Linked DNA regions of Ovis aries. The protein of the gene in region 4 interacts with the protein of the main gene of each other region in a biochemical or structural test. Links are inferred from orthologs where the notes say so. Each region holds a gene or a part of one and is shown on either strand. Other genes may lie near its edges.

What was found.
Region 1: the proteins of HSP90AA1 (region 4) and PPP5C form a complex in vitro, tested with the Homo sapiens proteins (4 studies listed by BioGRID, with this or other methods). The link is inferred for Ovis aries from reciprocal best matches to the Homo sapiens genes HSP90AA1 and PPP5C.
Region 2: the proteins of HSP90AA1 (region 4) and FKBP4 form a complex in vitro, tested with the Homo sapiens proteins (4 studies listed by BioGRID and IntAct). The link is inferred for Ovis aries from reciprocal best matches to the Homo sapiens genes HSP90AA1 and FKBP4.
Region 3: the proteins of HSP90AA1 (region 4) and ST13 form a complex in vitro, tested with the Homo sapiens proteins (2 studies listed by BioGRID). The link is inferred for Ovis aries from reciprocal best matches to the Homo sapiens genes HSP90AA1 and ST13.

Annotation. Positions count from the first base shown.
Region 1 is NC_056067.1:53,384,925-53,389,727, forward strand, and holds part of PPP5C (serine/threonine-protein phosphatase 5), read left to right. Parts: intron 1-462; exon of another isoform or gene 463-2,800; coding exon 2,801-2,948; exon of another isoform or gene 2,949-3,602; coding exon 3,603-3,724; exon of another isoform or gene 3,725-4,803. UniProt on the Homo sapiens protein: Serine/threonine-protein phosphatase that dephosphorylates a myriad of proteins involved in different signaling pathways including the kinases CSNK1E, ASK1/MAP3K5, PRKDC and RAF1, the nuclear receptors NR3C1, PPARG, ESR1 and ESR2, SMAD proteins and TAU/MAPT.
Region 2 is NC_056056.1:212,788,232-212,793,763, reverse strand, and holds the start of FKBP4 (peptidyl-prolyl cis-trans isomerase FKBP4), read left to right. Parts: upstream 1-2,108; 5' UTR 2,109-2,185; coding exon 2,186-2,290; intron 2,291-4,120; coding exon 4,121-4,265; intron 4,266-4,703; coding exon 4,704-4,846; intron 4,847-5,532. UniProt on the Homo sapiens protein: Immunophilin protein with PPIase and co-chaperone activities. Component of steroid receptors heterocomplexes through interaction with heat-shock protein 90 (HSP90).
Region 3 is NC_056056.1:217,908,963-217,913,765, reverse strand, and holds part of ST13 (hsc70-interacting protein), read left to right. Parts: intron 1-603; coding exon 604-652; intron 653-2,788; coding exon 2,789-2,913; intron 2,914-3,442; coding exon 3,443-3,571; 3' UTR 3,572-4,803. UniProt on the Homo sapiens protein: One HIP oligomer binds the ATPase domains of at least two HSC70 molecules dependent on activation of the HSC70 ATPase by HSP40. Stabilizes the ADP state of HSC70 that has a high affinity for substrate protein.
Region 4 is NC_056071.1:64,570,074-64,574,143, reverse strand, and holds the end of HSP90AA1 (heat shock protein HSP 90-alpha), read left to right. Parts: intron 1-30; coding exon 31-221; intron 222-329; coding exon 330-477; intron 478-638; coding exon 639-907; intron 908-1,189; coding exon 1,190-1,654; 3' UTR 1,655-1,805; coding exon of another isoform or gene 1,806-1,915; 3' UTR 1,916-2,605; downstream 2,606-4,070. UniProt on the Homo sapiens protein: Molecular chaperone that promotes the maturation, structural maintenance and proper regulation of specific target proteins involved for instance in cell cycle control and signal transduction.

The DNA.
Region 1 (4,803 bases), on a different chromosome or scaffold from region 4:
CACGAGGGCCCAGGCTGGGTCTGGGGGACTCCTTCTATACTCGCCACCTATGCCCGGGACTTTCTGGGTTTGGAGGGTTCGCAGTCCCATGTGGTGCCTCTGGAGGTTTCACTGCAGAAACAGGAGTGAGCCACCCAGACTTCCTGAGGACGTCCCATTGCATGGAGCGTGTGCTCTGCGTCACCTTCTTGAACTCCAGAGAGTTCCCGTTTCCCAGATACACACTGGCCCCGTGGCATTATGTGGGGGTCACAAGCCCATGTTACCATTTCATCGGTCTGAGTCCCTGGACTTACTGCCCGGGAATACTCGCAGCTGAAACCACTTTGTAAAAACAGCTGTTTATTCTGAGAGCGTTGTGGTTTCACATGCAGGGATAAGGAGTAAGGCAAAGACCCCACCGCCCCACTTTCCCCCAGTGACATGCCTGGCGTCACTGTCACAGGATGCTGACCGGACACAACCCAGACCCCACTTGCTGTGAGATCCCTCTTCTTAAAGAGAAGTCCAGCATTCAGTTCTGAGCCAACAAGCCTCGGGGCCTCCCCCCACTGCAAGGCCTGGAGGCCTGGCCCCAGAGCCTGCTCTTAAGACCCAGGCCTGCAGCGTGTCTCTGGAAGGCGTGTCAGGTGCTGTGGGGACCGTGGCAGTAGGTGGGGAGGGGTCCCGTCCCAGCGTGTGCAGTGGGAGCAGGATCTTCAGCAGGGAGAGAATGGAATCCTGGCTTCCTGGGTCAGTGAGTTCACCTCTCCCAGCCTCAGTTTCCCTGTCCATCCGTGAGGTGCAGCTGTGATGACATCACAGAGAGCTGCTCTGAGGAGAAAGTGAGCGAGGTTGTCGCTTACAGCCTCGGGCACAGAGAAAGCTGTGCGCTGTTACTGCTCCGTTCCTTTGTTCCCGGGGTCATCAGTGTTTGCTTCCGGCCCACACCCCCACCCGTGAGCTCTCTGAAAAGAGGGTGCTGGCTCAGAGGAAATGGTTAGTGGGGCATCCGCCCACTCGGGCACTCCTTTCACCTGGGACACAGCCTCAGCCCTGCCCTCGTGGCCATGGCCACCTACCGCTGGGGAGGTAGACCCGTCTCCTGCGGTGCTCAGGGCTGGGGCGGGGCGGTGGGGGGTAGCCCAGGGCCCTGTGGGAGGCCAGAGCAGGTGCCTGACCCAGCCTGGGAGATGGGAGAGGGCAGGGGCGGGGGGCGGAGACCTGGAGGAGGAGGAGGCAGGGCTGGAGAGTCACTGAGGGTGGACATGAGGTGTTCTGGGCCAGGGGTGTACCAGCCTGCAGCTGAGAGGGGGCCGGCACGTTTGGGGACTTCTGGCTTTGGCCTGGCTGGTTCGCGCTGGGCAAGCAGGGAACGCAAAGGGCTGGGCAGGCCCTCGTGGGCCAGGCGGAGTGGCGGTTTGGACTTCATCCTGGGCCGTGGACTCCTAACCTCTGCTTGTTGGGAAGGACTCCAGGGACTGTCTGGGGCGGCCTCTCTCCCAAGCCTTGCACCACACCCTGCTGCAGGTGGAGGCACCTGGCAGGGCGCCTGGGCCCAAGCCTGCCCCGACCCGCTTCCTGCCACTCAACCTGGTCTGCACGCCCATTCTCGGGGCTGAGCCACACTGACCTTCAGGGCTCATCAGCAAACACCTTTGCCCCAGCTTCTGACGCACTCAGCCAGGCTTTCCACCAGGGTGCATTCGCTGCCTGGCACCCCCGTTTTCTGTGCCCTGGCACAGGGCTGTGGGAGCCCACTCCTGGGGAGGCCAGCATGGGGGGCAGGTCAGGCAGGGTCCACTGATAATTACAGGAGGAGTTACAGGTAACTGAGGCTCAGAGGGGTGAATTCATTTGCCCAAGGTCACCCAGCACGTAAGTGGCAGAGCTGGGGTCTGAATGCAGCCCCCACTCCCTCTGGACTTGGGGGATCAGGGTCTGTAGGAAGCGAGACGGAAGGTGGGGGAGGGCAGGGGACGGGCTCCTCTTCCTGGGCCTGGGGGAACCTCGCGGCCAAGCGCCCAGTGCTCCCCGCGTGCGATCCCGCGCCATGGGCGCGGCCGCCCGTGAAAGGCGCCGTGGGCGGCCTGCCGCTGCTGCACGCCCTTCCGAGTGTTTGCTCGCTCCGCCCTCCTGGCAGCCTGGGGCTCGTGCTCTGTCGCCTCCACCTTCCTCAGGAGGGAGCCAAGGGAGCACACTGGTCCTGGGTCTCCCCAGGGCCCGAGGTTGACCCCGGGCGCCTGACCACCAGGTGCCGGCGGCTGCCCGCAGAGCTCGGGCTGCACGCCAGGCCCGTGCTGGTTCTTGATCCTCCCCAACAGCCTGTCACCTCCCCCACTCGTAGATGAGACAACTGCAACTCTGTGTCATCCAGCCAGTCATTGCCTCTTTGGTTGAGTCGGGCTGTAAATCATGACTTCGGATCCAGCCCACGGGGACCGCTCAGCCCCTCTGGTTCCAGCGATGAAGCTGGAGCAGGGCCAGTTTTATTTTGATGACGGTCAGAGCTGCAGTGTATTAAGGAGCATCTGAATGGGTGAATACGTTTTCCCTCCCGGCAGCCCTGTGTGGGCAGCTGTTGGGCCCAGTTTGGGGACACAGAAACCAAGACCTAGACGGGGAGCGAGTCCAGGCTTGCACCCATCGTCCACGCGGCTGGGTGCTCTGCTCAGTGTCCGCGGAGCCCCGGGCCGGGCCAGGCCAGCCAAGGGCAGTCATGGTGCCCCCGCCTCCCAGTGACCCCTCTGCCCTGCGCCTCGCCTGGGTGCTGATGCCTCTTCTCTTCCTTCTGTCCTCTCTTGCCCACCTTGCATACCAGGTGGTGAAGGTGAAGCCCCATGACAAGGATGCCAAGATGAAGTACCAGGAGTGCAACAAGATCGTGAAGCAAAAGGCGTTCGAGCGGGCCATCGCGGGCGACGAGCACAAGCGCTCCGTCGTGGACTCGCTCGACATTGAGAGCATGAGTGAGTCGGCCCAGGTGCCCTGCTGCGCCCGGCCCAGAGCCTTCCCCGTCCTCGCCCGGGCCCTGCGTGCTGGGCGCCTCTGGTCCCTGTGCCCCCACGCTGTCTGTGCTCCTGGAGACCCCGCCGTCCAGCCTAGGGGCTAGAGGTCTCGGGTGCGGGCAAGCTTCCTTGCTTCATCCATCCCGCAGTTGCACCCCCCGTCATGGGCCTGATTTGTCCCCAGGTCCTCTGGGCGCTCAGAGGCGTCTGTCAAACATTCCACGGATGACTATTGGGTCCCTACTGGGTGCCGCCATTGTGGGCACTGGGGATACAGCTGTGACCCGCACAGCCCCTGCCCCCTGGAGCGGGTGTCCTATTGCGGAGAGAGGACTGATAGTCAGTTCACATGTTAAATGCTAGCAGATCGAGTCCGGGGGAGAGGCTGCCAGAGAGGGGGCGCCCCGTAGGCGGGAGGTCAGGGAGAGGGCCTGTGAGCCCGCCTGGGCAGAAGGGGCCGGCCATGAGAGGCCCTGGCCGAGCGGAGTCTTCACCCCGTCCCCTCTCAACCTGTGTGTCTAGCGCCGAGCCTGCCCCGTGCCTGGGGGCCAGGCCTCACTTCCCATCCTGGCAGTGGCCGCGGCCCCTGACTCTCCTCCCCCCTTCACACGCCAGCCATCGAGGATGAGTACAGTGGGCCCAAGCTGGAGGACGGCAGGGTGACAGTCACCTTCATGCAGGAGCTCATGCAGTGGTACAAGGACCAGAAGAAGCTGCACCGGAAGTGTGCCTACCAGGTAGTGCCCGCCAGAGCCCGGGGCCCGGGGTAGCATCAGGGCGCTGGCCTGGCCTGAGCCCTGCCACCGCGGGGGCCCAGGAGCAGGGCGGTCCCGCCAGCTGGCGCTTGCCGAGCCCACAGTGTGCTGGGCACCCTGCAGATGAATTCTTCATCTCCAGCATTTCCATCAGTTACTTTTTTAATAGCTTTCGTCTCTCGGCCCCATATGTTCATGCATGTCATTTACCTTTTCTGTGAGATCCTTCAACACGTTTTCCACACAGTTATTTTAAAGTCTCTGTCTAGATCTCCCACCATCTGGGTCATCTCTGGGTCTGCTTCCGTTTGTCTGCTCTTCCCGTCTTGGCGCTTTTTTCTCGTGGGCCAGACACTTTGTGTAGAAGTACAGTAGCGATGGAGACAGATTCCTCTCCTGCAGACACGGGCAGACCCTGCTTCTGTTGGGCTGCCACAGTGAGGGGCTGTGTCCGTCCCCGCTGCAGGTCAGGGGCAGCTCGAGTTGGAGCTGGCTTCAGATACGTCCAGAGGGGAGCCGGGACTCCCCGAGGGCGGGGCTCAGCATCTCCGCCCTGGCAGAATCCCAGGGATGCCTGCAGGCTCTCAGGTCTCCCGCTCCCGGAGCTGTAGGAAAGCGCTCTGATGTTCAGCCCTGCCGCCGGCTGCTGGGCTGTCTGAGGGGCTCTCTGCTCCCAGTCTCGCCCCCACTTTTGTGCCTCAGGTGGCTCCTGTCCGCCATGTCGCCTCGCGCCCTCTGTGCGGCCCCGGGAGAGAAGATGCAGGCTTGGGCAGAGGCCTCTGCCGCGGGGCCCCCAGGCTCTCTCTCCCGCTCCCCTCTCAGCCTGGCCCTCGCTGCGCCGCCGGCCCACCAGCCGCCGCCGCTCTCCCAGGGGAGAGCTGGTCACCTCACTGTCTTGTAGTTTGGCTCATTTAGGTTTCTTTGAGTCCTCACTCTCAGATGTTTCAGGGTGTTCTTTGTTTTTTCTTTTTTCTTCTTGTTTCCTGGCTTGTTTCCCTCATTAAGGCAAGAGTGACAGTCTTTTGTAACTTTCTACATTCTGACCGGAAGTGGATACCTCC
Region 2 (5,532 bases), on a different chromosome or scaffold from region 4:
GGCATGGGTTCGATCCCTAGCAAGAAAAGAATGAAAGGAAAACAGATTGAAAAAGAAACAAACCTATCTGTGCACTTTCGACATTGAGTATGTGTAGGTTTTACAATCCGAAGAATATAATGTAAATAAAATGGAAAATAATTCTACAAACAGAAAAAAAATGGGGGGAATCCTAGAACCCAGTGACTACTGTCCCTCCTCACCTCTTCCATCTCCCAGACCCCTCAACCATTCATTGATTGAAAGAGCACAGCACTTCCTCCCTGGAAACCTTTCCCTTTGGCCCTTCCCCTTCCACGAGGTTTTCCCCTCTCTTACAGACCTCTGTATCCTATCCTGGTCTCAGCAGAGCACTCATCCCATCAGAATCATGAGCATGATTTACTCACCTGTGCGAAGGTGGCCACTGGGCTAGATACCCAGCATACATTCCTGCTTTGTAACCATCACAACTACCCTCGTTGACAGGTGTTCTTGTCCCTGTTAATCTGCCTCAAATCGGTTAGTATGTTGGGGACCCCACTCGTTGCTTACTCTCTAGAAAGAGCACGTGCTCTTTCTACAGTCAGTATGCGTGCAAAAGCGGTCATATCTTGGGTGCTCAAGTAAAACGTGCTGACAGACTAGAAGATACCTACAACTGTTTGCTGCCAGTAAAGAAATAGATGCTTTTAGAAAAGCATTACTCGACCGGAGCTTTTCTATACCAACTTGTTCAGCCAGATAATATCCAGTGGCCCCAGCTTCAAAAGAAACCAGTACACTCAAGAGTGACCGCACACAGGCGCAGGAACCAACAGCAAGATAACTGCCAAGGCGGCAAGCCAGCACCCTACCCTGCGCCCGTCTCCTGCAACTTTGGAGGGCCACCGTTACTTCTCACCCTCCTGAGGACACTGGTAGAAAGGAAGCAGATTTAATCTCTAGTGAGTCAATCCCCCCAAGTCCGCTGAAGGCGTCACTGAATGAAAAACGTCTTAGTCGAGGCTAAATACACTTGCTGTAAATTGCTGGAAGAAACGATTTTATTTGTCCTGCATCCCTTCCCAGCCAATCCCAACAGAAAAGATTACAATGAATTCCCTGGTTATGTTTTAATATTGAAATTTCATCCGAAAACAGCCCTTTTAGTTTTCTACCTATATAGGACAGTCTTCATAGTACAGTGCCAAGCACTGAGCAAGGGCTCCAAAACAAACAAAAAACCTTATTATTATTGGCACACAAATTCCTGCAACCAATAATTATTTCATAACACGCACCAGACACTAAACTGGGCTTAAGCTCTAAGGAAGAGCAGGACCCTCCATACACAGATCTTTTGGTCAAAAGACTATTGTTTCGGTAACTATGGCGCTTCCTAGTCGCCAAGGGAAGTCCATGAACACCCAGGAACCCAGTATTAAGAAAATATTCCTTTTCATGGGCCTTCAGTAAGACGCAGTGGCTCTCCTAGCGAGTTGAACCCATTCTATGTGTTCAGTTATATTATTGTCGGGAAAGGCCCCTTTAATACGCGGGCCATTTCTTGCAAACGGGCAGTTCGCAGCGTTTCGCCGGGCCCTGGGCGCACGCTGGCCCCTCTCCGGGGAAACCCAGACGCCTCCCCGGCCCTACATGCCCAGGTACCGCTCCCCTCGCTCTGCGTTCAGGACGCGTGCCCGGCCAGGCGGGGAGGCAGGCAGCCCGCGGCTCGGGCAGGGGAGACGCACGCGCGGCGCCCACGTCCGGCGGCGCGGCGTCGGATGCTGCGGGGGTATCGAGAAGGATCTGGAAGAATCCGGCTAGACCGGGGGGGGGGGGGGCGGCGGGAGGGAGAGGCCGAGAGAACGAGCGGCGGGGGCGGGGGCTGGCTCCCGAGTCCGAGGGTCTCGGGGCCGGGGCGGGGCTAGGCGGCTGGCGGGAGGAACGAACCAGAAACCACCTTCCGCAGAAGCGCCCTGAGCGCCAGAGCCTGAACCCGCTCGGCCGCCGGCGCCTCTAGAAAGTTCTCCCCCCACGTCCCTCGCGGCCGCCCGGCTCCTCCCAGCCCCTCCCTCCGAGGCGGTGGGACCAATCGCTCACCCGGCCGCCCACGACCCCACCTCCTCCTCCGCCCGCGCCCGCGCAGAGAGGTGCGCGAGCCCCGACCCGCCGCCCGCACCGCCGCGCACACCCCGCCGCCCGCTGCCCGAGAAACGGCGTGATGACCGCCGAGGAGACGAAGACGGCCGAGAGCGGAGCGCAGTCGGCGCCGCTGCCCCTCGAAGGCGTGGACATCAGCCCCAAGCAGGATGAAGGGGTGCTTAAGGTAAGAGGCGGGGGGCGCCCCGGGGAGGCGGAGGCGGCGGTAGTCGGGCACCGGGAGCGCCCCAGCATCTGCCCGGGGCTCGGGCAGCCGCCTCTGCAGCCTCCCGGCCGGCCGTTAAGCAGGCCGTGCAGCCGTGGCCCTGCGCATCGCCTTCCTAGCCAGGCCGCCGGTTCAGGGCGGGAGGGCTGCTACACGCTCGGAAGGGGAACATCTGGGCTGAGGCTCCCCAGGCCTGGGAAGGGTCCCGGAGCGCAGCGCCTGCTCTGGCTGCGGCATGCGCCGGGAGGGGCGCGGCGGGGGGCGGACGCGCTCGCGCGGGGGCCCCGGCGGCGTGCACCGCCCCACTGCGATCTGCGACCCGCGGCCGGCTCCTTCCCGGCCGCCGCTGGCGCCAGGGAGTTCCCCCCGCCACCCCGGCCTCCTGCGCCTCCGGGGTGCGGAGCTCGCCGACCCCGGCAGTTAAACATTAGCCAGGACGCGAACGGGGTCCCGGGAGTTATTGCCTGGCCCGCGCGGGTCTTTGTGCGACTTGGCGCGCGGTCCTGGCGTCCTCCGCCCTCTGGTCACCCCTTTCCTGAAGGCTGGGACCCGGCTAGGTCACCCGCTCGGCCATGCTGTCCCCCTCCCCCCCCACCCCGGTGCATGCCGGGACCTGTAGTTCACCCCGCCTCGGCCCCCACATCGCACCCCACCCCACTCCACCCCCGGCCCGGGGCCTTACTGAGCGCGGAGTGCGGGACTGGGAGGAGGTGCTTTGGTTGGGGGCCCTAAACAGTGTTACGGCCGGAGGAGCCAGGGAGGGGTCTGGGAGCCAGGCAGCAGGGCGTCTTGACCCAGGTCCGGCCGCGGTTCGGAGCAGGTTCTGCGCTGTCCAGGATGGCGAAATCCTAGCCTGGCTTCGCTGGTATCCTCACCCAGACTTTCTGCTCCTCTTGGCTTCCCGCAGCTCAGCCCACGTGTGCGTGTGGCCAGGGCAGGTTGGAGACCCCGGGGAGCTGCTTAGCCGTTTCAGAAACGCACCTGGCTGCTCTCCTAGTGGGCACGCGGGCTTCCAGGGAGACCTATTTACCCTTTTCATTCTCCACGCCTTCCCTTTCACTTTTCTGTTTACTCAAGTCCATGTCCGTTGCATCGTGGGAGCTTTCCCTTAGAGGGTAACTTGCACACTTAACCAGGTAGACCACCTTTTTATAAACACCAAAGAGAAGCAGGTTCTTCTAAACACTGGGACATATTCTAGCCCTGACTTCAAGGACTGCAGTAGCCTACCAGTCAGGAACCCTCAAGTCCCAGGTCAGAGCCTAGGGCCTGCTCAAGGACCCTTGGCTCACTTGTAAGCTGGTGGTTGCTCTTAGCTCTCCTGGACTTTCTGGTTTCCCTCTTCTCTCTCTAAACCAGACCTGATTGGATGACTGGCGTTTAGGAAGCATGAGGAAGTGTAGCGTAAATACTTTCCCCTTTGCTGCTGATAATTATTCAGTGTTTTACTGGTTTAGTCCTGTAACCACTCTGATAGGGTTTATCATCACTACTTTACAAATATGGTCAGTTTAGAGAGTTAAAGTGACTTCTGTAAGATCGTAACAGCAAAAATGATCTCAGGTGTTTTGTCTCCAGTGTTTCAAACCAAGTTATGTCATGGTCCAAGAAAGGGAGGTCAGTTTAATTCTAGCCAAACCCCATAGCAGTCATTTGATGATGGGTTTGTTGAGTTACTTACAAGGAGGCAGAGGAGACCATTTACATTCTGGCCAGAGGCATGCGAACATTCATGGTTCCTCTCTGTGTCCATCCCCAGGGACTCACCTTCTCTCCTTCCCTTCCTTCCAGGTCATCAAGCGAGAGGGCACGGGCACGGAGACACCCATGATCGGGGACCGTGTCTTTGTCCACTACACAGGCTGGCTGCTCGATGGCACCAAGTTCGACTCCAGCCTGGACCGCAAGGACAGGTTCTCCTTCGACCTGGGGAAAGGTGGGCATGGTTAGCAGGCTCTCAGGACCAGGGTGTGTGTGCTGTCACAAACAGAAACCGTATTCTCAGAAGCTTAAACACGGAACAGTTTATTACAGTTCTTTTTTTATTTCCACTGTCCTGAAACTCTATTGATTTTTTAATCTGTCATTGCCTTGATCACCTCTGAAAACCTTGCTTCCTTTTCCAGGGTGGACTGCCTTGTTTTCTTGAACCTCTTTGCTTCAGAGTTGAATGATTTTTCTTTTTTCTTCTTTTTTTTGAGAGGTCTGAGACCTGATACCATTTATCGCAACCAGATTTTCTACCTTCTTGGTCCTATTTCTAAATAGTACCCAGCTTCCCTTTGGGCATGGGACAGTAAGTCTCTCAGGCCACTGTTTGAACCCAGAGGGAGATCCCTGCCAAAGAGGACCTGTTTCTTCTCTGTACCTACAGGGGAGGTCATCAAGGCTTGGGATATCGCCGTGGCGACCATGAGGGTGGGTGAAGTGTGCCACATCACCTGCAAGCCGGAGTACGCCTACGGCTTGGCGGGCAGCCCCCCGAAGATCCCTCCCAACGCCACGCTTGTGTTTGAGGTGAGTGTCCGGCCACAGAGGGCCAGGCAGAGAGCCAGCCTTATCTCAGCCCAGGGTCTGGCTGCCCTCCAGCCCTTCCTGCTGCCTGGAGACAATGTAGCCAAGGCTGAGGGCCTGCCCTGGGGAGGGAAGACATGGAGTGCGCCTCTCCTACTGCTTCTACCAGAGAACTGTCAGTGGGCAGGTTTTAGTTGGGGAGAGGTGGCTGCGAGCCCCTCTTTCAGACTTGAAGCAGCGGGGTGAGGGCTTTGAGGCCTGTTCACCTCAAGAGGGATACTCAGAGGGAGGTGGACCAAAACGAAGGAATTGGGAGGTCACAGGCTACATGCAGTCATGACTGACAGTGCAGAACATTGGTGCCCTAGAAATAAGATGCGGGCAGAGATGCTTCTCGCGTGGGTCGAGGTAAGGGGCAAGCCTTTGCTGAGAAGGTGAAACTTCACTGTGTTAAGACTCAAAAATGGTTGAGCCCTACGCACTGGAGGCTCGGAGAATGTTGGGAAGACTGGTGAGAGGTGTTGGGTTATTTCTAATGCCTGTCGGATGGAGCTTGTCTGGCAGCTGAATTAGGACCTTTTGGAACATGTGCCTGTTCTATAGAGCAGTCATTGAGGAGACTGATACCAAGGTCAAGACCAGGGCCGCTCCTGAGAACTTAGCCACTTGGTCCATTCCTGGTGTGGCTG
Region 3 (4,803 bases), on a different chromosome or scaffold from region 4:
AATTTAAAACTTGCCAGTATTATTTGCTTTGTTTAGAATGCATGCCCTGATTTTAAGTTTTATGATTCCTTCTGTTTTAGTAGTGAATTCATAGCTATTTAAAATTGACTCGTTATTTTTTAGTTTTAGTTCCAAGTCCAAAATACTACTTAAAATCATTAGCAAAAGTTATGCTGAGTTGCTTCAGTTATGTCCAACTCTCTGAGACGCTGTGGACTACTGTAGCCTGCCAGGCTCCTCTGTCCATGGGATTCTCCAGGCAAGAATACTGGAGTGGGTTGCCATGCCCTCCTCCAGGGCATCTTCCCGACTCAGAGTTTGAACCTGCTCTTATGTCTACTGCATTGGCAGGCGGGTTCTTTACCACTAGCTTCCACCTGGGAAGCCCACCAAAAGTAATACTTCCTCATTGAGAATCCAATTGAAAGTTGGTTTTTTGAGGGATGGGATGTTGTCTTTAGCCCAGTATTGCCTTTTGAAACTTGTCATTCTTGTACCTCCTCTAGCTAGTTTATTTTACGGTTTTTTCATGGTTTGTATGGATAAGGTAGGCATGAACAGCAGACTTCTTACTATGTAATTTATTTCCTTTTTGTATTAAAGGAGGAAGAAGCCAGAAGACAATCAGGATCTCAGTATGGCTCTTTTCCAGGTATTTTGAAAGAAAAATTAAAATTCCTAATATTGTAGATAATTGGGGATTATTCTCATTTTCGGGCTCAGGTGTGTATATTGTATTTAGTACCATTAGTCCCTGGGAAAGTTTCATTCTTGGTAAAATTTTGTTATTGGAAATACAGTATATTATTTTCCTATAAGCATTGAATACTGGCAGTGAAAGTGTTAGTCACTCAGTGGTGTCCAACTCCTTGCGATTCCATGGACTAAAGCCCGCCAGGCTCCTTCTGTTCATAGAATTTTCCAGGCTAGAGTACTGGAGTGGGTAGCCATTTCCTTCTCAAGGGGATCTTCCCCACCCAGGGATTAAACCTGGTTCTCCTGCATTGCAGGCAGGTTCTTTACCTTCTTTACTGTCTGAGCCACCGGCAGAGGCCTCTGCAGTATAGGTAGAAGAGCTGTTAAAAAGGTACTCAGTATATTTTTGGATACTTTCTGAATTGAGGCAGTGTGACATTTATGTAAAGATGAAGAGGTTTTTTTTTGTTTTTTTTTTTTTTGAGTTTGTCATTGTAATGGGGAATCAGCAGCTTCAAAGTAACTAGCTTTCTTGTGAAGAGTTATAGAGGCAGGTACACACCACCTCTCTACTTAGAATTTACGTGATCAGAGGCTAGAAAAGGTAGCTGCTGTTGTGAAAGGTCATGTGCCGGCAACTAAAAAAGTGGGTGGGGATGACTTGGAGCAAAAGCAAGAAAATAGATTTTAGCTCATGGCTTACTTTTTGTTTATAAGTTAATACCTCATATCAGGTTGCTTGTTTTAGAAAATGACCACTACTGTGGGCTAGCACTTGAGATAATTTTTTGTATGATGGGCTTTATGACATAGATTTGACAAGCAGGCTGTCTCACTGTTGTTGCTTTGGGTCAGTAATTTTTGTGGAGACTAGTTTTAAAAAGTCACAGCAGCGTAAGAAACTAGAAGTTGTTTTCAGGTCTCCTTATCTGATTAGGTCTTATCTGTGATTGTTAGTTATTTATGGGCATGTTTGAATTGTTGAGACAGATGGAAATCACTTTGTTGTGTATATTTCTTCTTTAGAGTAGCTTTACTTGTAATGACTTGATCCATGGAATATGTTAATGTTACCTGTATTTCTCTTTAGGATGTCTTTATATTATTATAGTGTGTTAATTGTGACTTTAGAATATCTCCAGTGAATGTAAAGATTAATGGTAATGAAAAATTGAGTAGAAAAATTTGAGTTTATAATCTAAAAATATACTAGAATTAGATTGTTTTTTGTTACAGCTTTTTTTTTCACTTTCAGAAATTTTGATGTAATTTGGGTGAAGATTAAAAAATCCATAAGCTTTTTCTTTTTCCCTCTTTAATTTTGGCCACATTGTGTGGCTTAAAGGATCTCAGTTCCCTGACCAGGGATTGAACCCAGGCCACGGCAATGAAAACATCAAATCCTAACCACTAGATCACCAGGGAACTTCCAAAAATCCACAACTTTTTATAACATGTATTTAGGGTAGTTCTTGAAGGAATAACTGCTTAGAAGAATATTGTTTTTAAGAAGAAAAACACGACTTTAAATTGAAACAGATGAATAATATTAAAGACTGAGAAGATACAAGATGACTTATTATACTTTTTAATTGTATTTCTTCTTTTTAAAAAAATATTTATTTTTAATTGGAGGATGATTGCTTTACAATATTGTATCAGTTTCTGCCATATATCAACATTGGTGTGTATTCTGCCGCTCAGTCGTGTCTGACTCTTTGCGACTTCATGGGCTATAGCCCACCAGGCTCCTCTGTCCATCAGATTTCCCGTGCGAATACTGGAGTGGGTTGCCATTTCCTTCTCCAATATCAACATTAGACTTTTCAATTTTATAATTCCAAAGGACTATTAGCTTTCTCTCTAGTTTTGTTACTAGGGAATAAGTATTTACAGCCTTATTTTTAAAAAGAAAATTTGATGATAAAAATTACATCTTGTAGCCTCCAGTTTGAATGTTCAGACTGTTTAGTGTTCAGCAGCAGCCTTGTTCTTTGTGCATGCACATGTTTTTATCAGAGGAAATAATACGCTCCCAGACTACTTGGGAATATGGTTGGTGTCTATACAGATCTCTCATTTATTCTTGCAGGCGGCTTTCCTGGGGGAATGCCTGGTAATTTTCCTGGAGGAATGCCTGGAATGGGAGGGGGAATGCCGGGAATGCCTGGCCTCAATGAAATTCTTAGTGATCCCGAGGTCCTTGCAGCCATGCAGGTAAGACTTGGAAGAACAAAGTTGAACTTTATATCATTAAACATCTTTTTTTCATAATTCCATGTGGGAACATACTAAGGTTACTCTGATAGCCATATTTTACTGAGCTGAATTTACCCAGTAGCTTATTATGTAGTCGTGACGTTCATTTTCTGTTTTTCAGAATGAGTAGTTCAAGTTTTTAAAAAGCAGTCTATAGGGAATACTCTGCAATAGTTGGTAATTATATCCAGTTGTCCTTATCTTTATATCAAAATTGTATACCTCTTTTTTCAATTGTCTTGGGTGACATAGTCGAGTTTGACTTTGAAGTGCGCATTAATGATATTTATGCTTCAGGGGTTTGTCCAAATCTGAGTTGATTTAGCCATGAGGAAGGTTGGAGGATGATTGCTGTCAGTGTTGTGTCAGTTTCTGCCGTATATCAGAACTATAGGTCTAAGAGATAGGGTTTAGGATAATAAAATTGATGACCCATAGAATATTTTTTTAATACTAAAAATATATATACATATACCTTTCTTTGCAGGATCCAGAAGTTATGGTGGCCTTCCAGGATGTGGCCCAGAACCCGGCAAATATGTCAAAATATCAGAGCAACCCAAAGGTTATGAATCTCATCAGTAAATTGTCAGCCAAATTTGGAGGTCAAGCATAATGCTCTTCTGACATAAAGCCCTGCTGGAGGAAAAGCAACTTAGATCACCTAATGGATGTTGCAATAATACAAACCAGTGTACCTCTGACCTTCTCATGAAGAAAGCTGGGGTGCTTTGAAGATAATCCCTACCCCTTTGCCCCAGATGCAGCTGAAAACATTTTACAGCGGTTTGCCATTAGGGTATTCATTCAGATAATGTTTTCTTACTAGAAATTTAAAACTTTAAGCAATTTTTAAACCTTAAAAATATTTAAAAAGGTGTATTAACCCCTACATTTTTCTTTACTAATGATTTTGATTTTTTCCTTTGAATTAATTAGGCAAGTAAGATACATCAGTGTGGAAGATTTATTGTTCCAAGTTTGAGTGAAATAAAGATTTGTTAGTGGGAGACAAATACAACATTTAAATAGATAAAGTTTGAATTGGACATATGGTTACTGAGGCATTTTGATTTGTCTTTTTAATTGCTTTGTTGTTACTATCTTAAATGATTTGCTTCTGGAACTCTTGGGACCACCAGTATTGCAGTAGGGCCTGGGGAGGGACTGGAAGTACTTGGCAGGGCAGCAGTCATCGTACTACATTTTATATCACATGTCCCCTTGCGCACATGCAGTTAAATCTTACGCTGTGGTGGAGGGATGGTTTTTATAATGCTGCAGTAAAATTGCATTACTTAGCTCTGTTCTTGTCTGATACCTGAAATAAATGTTTCGTATTTCCACATAGGGGAAATAGGGGAATGTTTTCCTTTCTGTATTTCTGTGTTTAAAAATGTCCTTTACACATCAGAAAATGCCCAATTTGTCTGCTTTTTCTGCTCGTTTTCAGTTTTTTCTTCCTACTCTTCTTGGGCTAAAGATGGTCCTCTTTGACTAACATCATTGCTATCATTATTCATAGCATAATTGTGCAGGCATATTTAATGCTGGGTTTAATGTTTAATACAAACAGTGACTATGTAGGGTAATACCGATAATAGCTTCAGTTTCTTACTTGGCGAAGAGATTTCATATTTAAGTGTTAGATTTTCTCTTTGGTGAAATCGTAACATATCAAAGGACCTTGGAAGAAGGGATTCCCTTTGATGTTTGGTCTCCTACTTAGGAAATACCTATTGCAGTTTGAGTTTATCCTGTAGTATTAATCTTTGGAGAGTTTTGAATTAATTGATACGCAGAAAGGGAAACTTGACTTCCTAATCACTATTGAGATTCACGATGATT
Region 4 (4,070 bases):
GAGTGACTGGCTGCATTTGGTCTGTTTCAGATTTCATTAGAGGTGTGGTGGATTCTGAGGATCTTCCTCTGAACATTTCCCGTGAGATGTTGCAACAGAGCAAAATTTTGAAAGTTATCAGGAAGAATTTGGTCAAAAAGTGCTTGGAACTCTTCACTGAACTGGCAGAAGATAAGGAGAACTACAAGAAGTTTTATGAGCAGTTCTCTAAAAATATTAAGGTTGGTTAGAAACACATTTGACTATTAAGAGTAGTAATCAAACTGATTTTCCTTTTGAAATAATTGAACACAGAGAAAGTCTTTCTAAAGCTAACATTGTCTTTTCAGCTTGGAATACATGAAGATTCCCAAAATCGGAAGAAGCTTTCAGAGCTGTTGAGGTACTATACGTCTGCTTCTGGTGATGAGATGGTTTCTCTCAAGGACTATTGCACAAGAATGAAGGAAAACCAGAAACACATCTATTACATCACAGGTACCTTACAGGCAATAACTGTGACAGTCGATCTTTTTGTGATCCCATAGGAACAGTTGCACGTTTTCTACCCGTGTGGTGGTACACATAATTTAGTAGGAGTTAATCTAACCGAAATAAATGAGACTGCTGTTAAAAGATATAAAACTTCTGTTTCTTAGGTGAGACAAAGGACCAGGTAGCCAACTCGGCCTTTGTGGAGCGTCTCCGGAAGCATGGTTTGGAAGTGATCTACATGATTGAGCCTATTGATGAGTACTGTGTGCAACAGCTGAAGGAGTTTGAGGGGAAGACCTTAGTGTCAGTCACCAAAGAGGGCCTGGAACTTCCAGAAGATGAGGAAGAGAAAAAGAAACAAGAAGAGAAAAAGACAAAGTTTGAAAACCTCTGCAAAATCATGAAGGACATTTTGGAGAAGAAAGTTGAAAAGGTGTGTGAATACCATCTTTTTTCTTATATTTTCTGGTTACTAACCCTTCTTAGGGGTGTTAGGTGTCTTTTGAACAAGTCACATATACATAGTCCTTAACATCTTTAAAGACATTAGAACTTAAAAGGAACTTAAAGCTTCGGATTTGCAATAGTATTTGCAAATAGTATTTGATTCATTAATACTCAAGTTCCTTAAATATTCAAATAAACCTGGTGACAAGCACTGAGAATGGAACACCTCTGTGCCCAGTTATCGCTGTATACCTTTTTTTTATGAAAGGTGGTCGTGTCCAACCGGCTGGTGACCTCCCCGTGCTGCATTGTCACAAGCACATACGGCTGGACAGCAAACATGGAGCGGATCATGAAGGCGCAAGCCCTGAGAGACAACTCGACGATGGGTTACATGGCAGCCAAGAAGCACCTGGAGATCAACCCTGACCATTCCATCATCGAGACCTTGAGGCAAAAGGCAGAGGCTGACAAGAATGACAAGTCTGTGAAGGATCTGGTCATCCTGCTGTACGAAACAGCGCTCCTGTCTTCTGGCTTCAGTCTGGAGGATCCCCAGACACACGCCAACAGGATCTACAGGATGATCAAACTTGGTCTTGGTAAGCCTTGTGCAAGTACCATGTGTAATACCATTGGGGGAAAACCTAAACAGATGACTGTTGAAAAGGGTGAACTTTCAGCAATTTCAACAAAGTTGGGCACTCTTGTTTTTCCATTTGCAAAACACTGAAGTCACATGAGTTAAAAGGGGGTAAATAAGCCCCTTTCGTCATGTCGCTTCTAATTCGCTCAGCCTTGAGAAGCGGGTATGAGGAACCTGTAGTGTTGGACTAATTATGCGGCTTGAAGAAACTTAATCCGTGTTTTTTATTTCCTTCAAGGTATTGACGAGGATGACCCCACTGCTGACGACAGCAGCGCTGCAGTCACTGAGGAAATGCCGCCCCTGGAAGGAGACGACGACACGTCCCGCATGGAGGAAGTAGACTGAGCGCTGCCGAGGCTCGCCTGGCGGTGTGTTCAACGCGCTGTCTCCGTTCCCTCCAATATGTTCTCGAGTATTTCTTTATTTTTGTTAACATTTAAAATCTGTATGGCATGACAACTGCATAAGGGGAGGATAAGATTTCTTTATACTAAGTGTGATACTGTGATACTTTTAGCACTAAAGCAGAGCTCGTTTTTTCCTAGTTTCATGTTGGCTTATTTTAACAGATGGAAGTAGTTAACCTTTGTTGTAAGGTGTGTGTAACCTCTGTTAACTTTGTGGTCTGAAGTGTTTAGCTATCAAGCGGATTCTTTAGTAGACCAAAATTTTCTGTCACTGAAGTGTTCTGAAGTATATACCTTGGTGTTTAAAAGAAACACTTATTACAGCAAGTTTTCATCTTCTGGGATATACTTTTTAAAACTTCCATCCCCTGTAGTTATGACTGCATGTGCCAGGCCTCTAGAAGTTAGTATGTTAAGCTGAACCAACTTGATTGGAGTCACTGTCCATACATAGGGCTTGTTTTCCAAAGAAAAATATTGTTTAGAGTAGCAAAATTATAAGCCTGCCCAGGCATGTTGTAAAGCCTCTGGAAAGGTAACTTGGAGCCAGTTTTGTGAATGGAAATGTAGTGCTCAAGTCACATTCTGCTTCAAAAAGTTGTAACAAATACAGATGAATTAAAAGAAATGATGTGTGATGTCTTACTTGTGGGGGTGGTCCCAGAATGTAAAACATGAGGGGTGCGCCTCTTCCCTAGAGGAGAGTCAAGGGAGCAGGTGGTTGGTGTGGCCTCCCTAGAGCCTACTGCTGTGACCTTAGGGTGCTCAGGCCACATGTTTGGGGGTGAGCCTCTATACTTAAAAGACAGGAGAATGGAACTTGCTGCTTTTGTGTCCATGTGTTAGACTTTATAATAACATCATTGTGCTTTAGAATTTCAATGTCTGAGCTGCACTCTGATGGTATTGGTGAAACGGGATGTGTAATAACCGCCCTTTTACTGCCTTGCCCTTATGAACCACAGCTGCTGAACACCTTCCCACCTGAAACCGTCTCTGCTGCTTGTTCTCTGGTTCTTTATTGAGCCTCAGGAAAGGTGTGTCCAGGAGGCTGCTGACAGACATAAGCACACAGCAGTTGGAGAGGGCAGGGGTGAGCATTAGAGTACTTGGTGGGAGGTCTACCCAGGATTTGGACCTAGAGTCAGAGAGGCCTGGAGAGTCCACAGACTGGAAGGTCTGTCATGGATAGTAAGTGCTGGTGGGTAGTAAGTGCCTGGGTGGGTAAGCAATAACCTTCTTTGATCCTTACCAATCTAATGCAGCAGCAGTTTTTAACTCCCCGGAGGGCTTCCCTGATAGTAAAGAATCTGCAACATGGGAGATCCTGATTCAATTCCTGGGTCAGGAAGATCTGCTGGAGAAGGGACAGGCTACCCACTCCAGTATTCTTGGGCTTCCCTTGTGGCTCAGCTAGTCTGGTGCCAGTGGTCCTGCTGTTCAGGAATTAATAATTGAAGGACAAAAAACAAGTTCTCTTATTTCCCACCTCTAGTAAGGAGACTAAGAATTCCATTCAAATTAAAAGTATTAGTCCTCTATAAAGTGTCTCCAGTGGAAAAAAAATGCCCACAGAGCATTTCCCCCCTGAATTATGGAAAGGCGTGTTAATGGCAGGCGTGTAATTGGAACTGCCCCCCAGCAAGCCCTGTGCTGGAGATGGACCACGGAGACCACAGGTGCCCACCCCTGGGGGTGAGAAGATGAGGTAAAGGACACAAACACCAGGCTGGTGCTGACCTTCAATTGTCAAGGGGTCCCCAACCTACTGCTGCCAAGTCCAGTCTTCACGCTAATGTAACTAGTCCCACGCTGATGAGTGTACAGAGCGCTGGGAAGCAGAGGTGGGTATGGTGCAAGATGGGAATGTGCTCAGTTGCTAACTTGTGACTGACGGTGACCTCCATGGACTCTAGCCTGCTGGGTTCCTCTGTCCATGGGCAAGAGGACTGGAGTGGGGTGCCATTTCCTTCTCCGGGGGATCTTTCCTAACCAGGCATTGAACCTGCTGCTCCTGCACTGACAGGCAGATAGTTTACCACTGACCACCAGAGTGGAAAAAGACTCACTCAGGGATTATGTGGTTGTGAGAA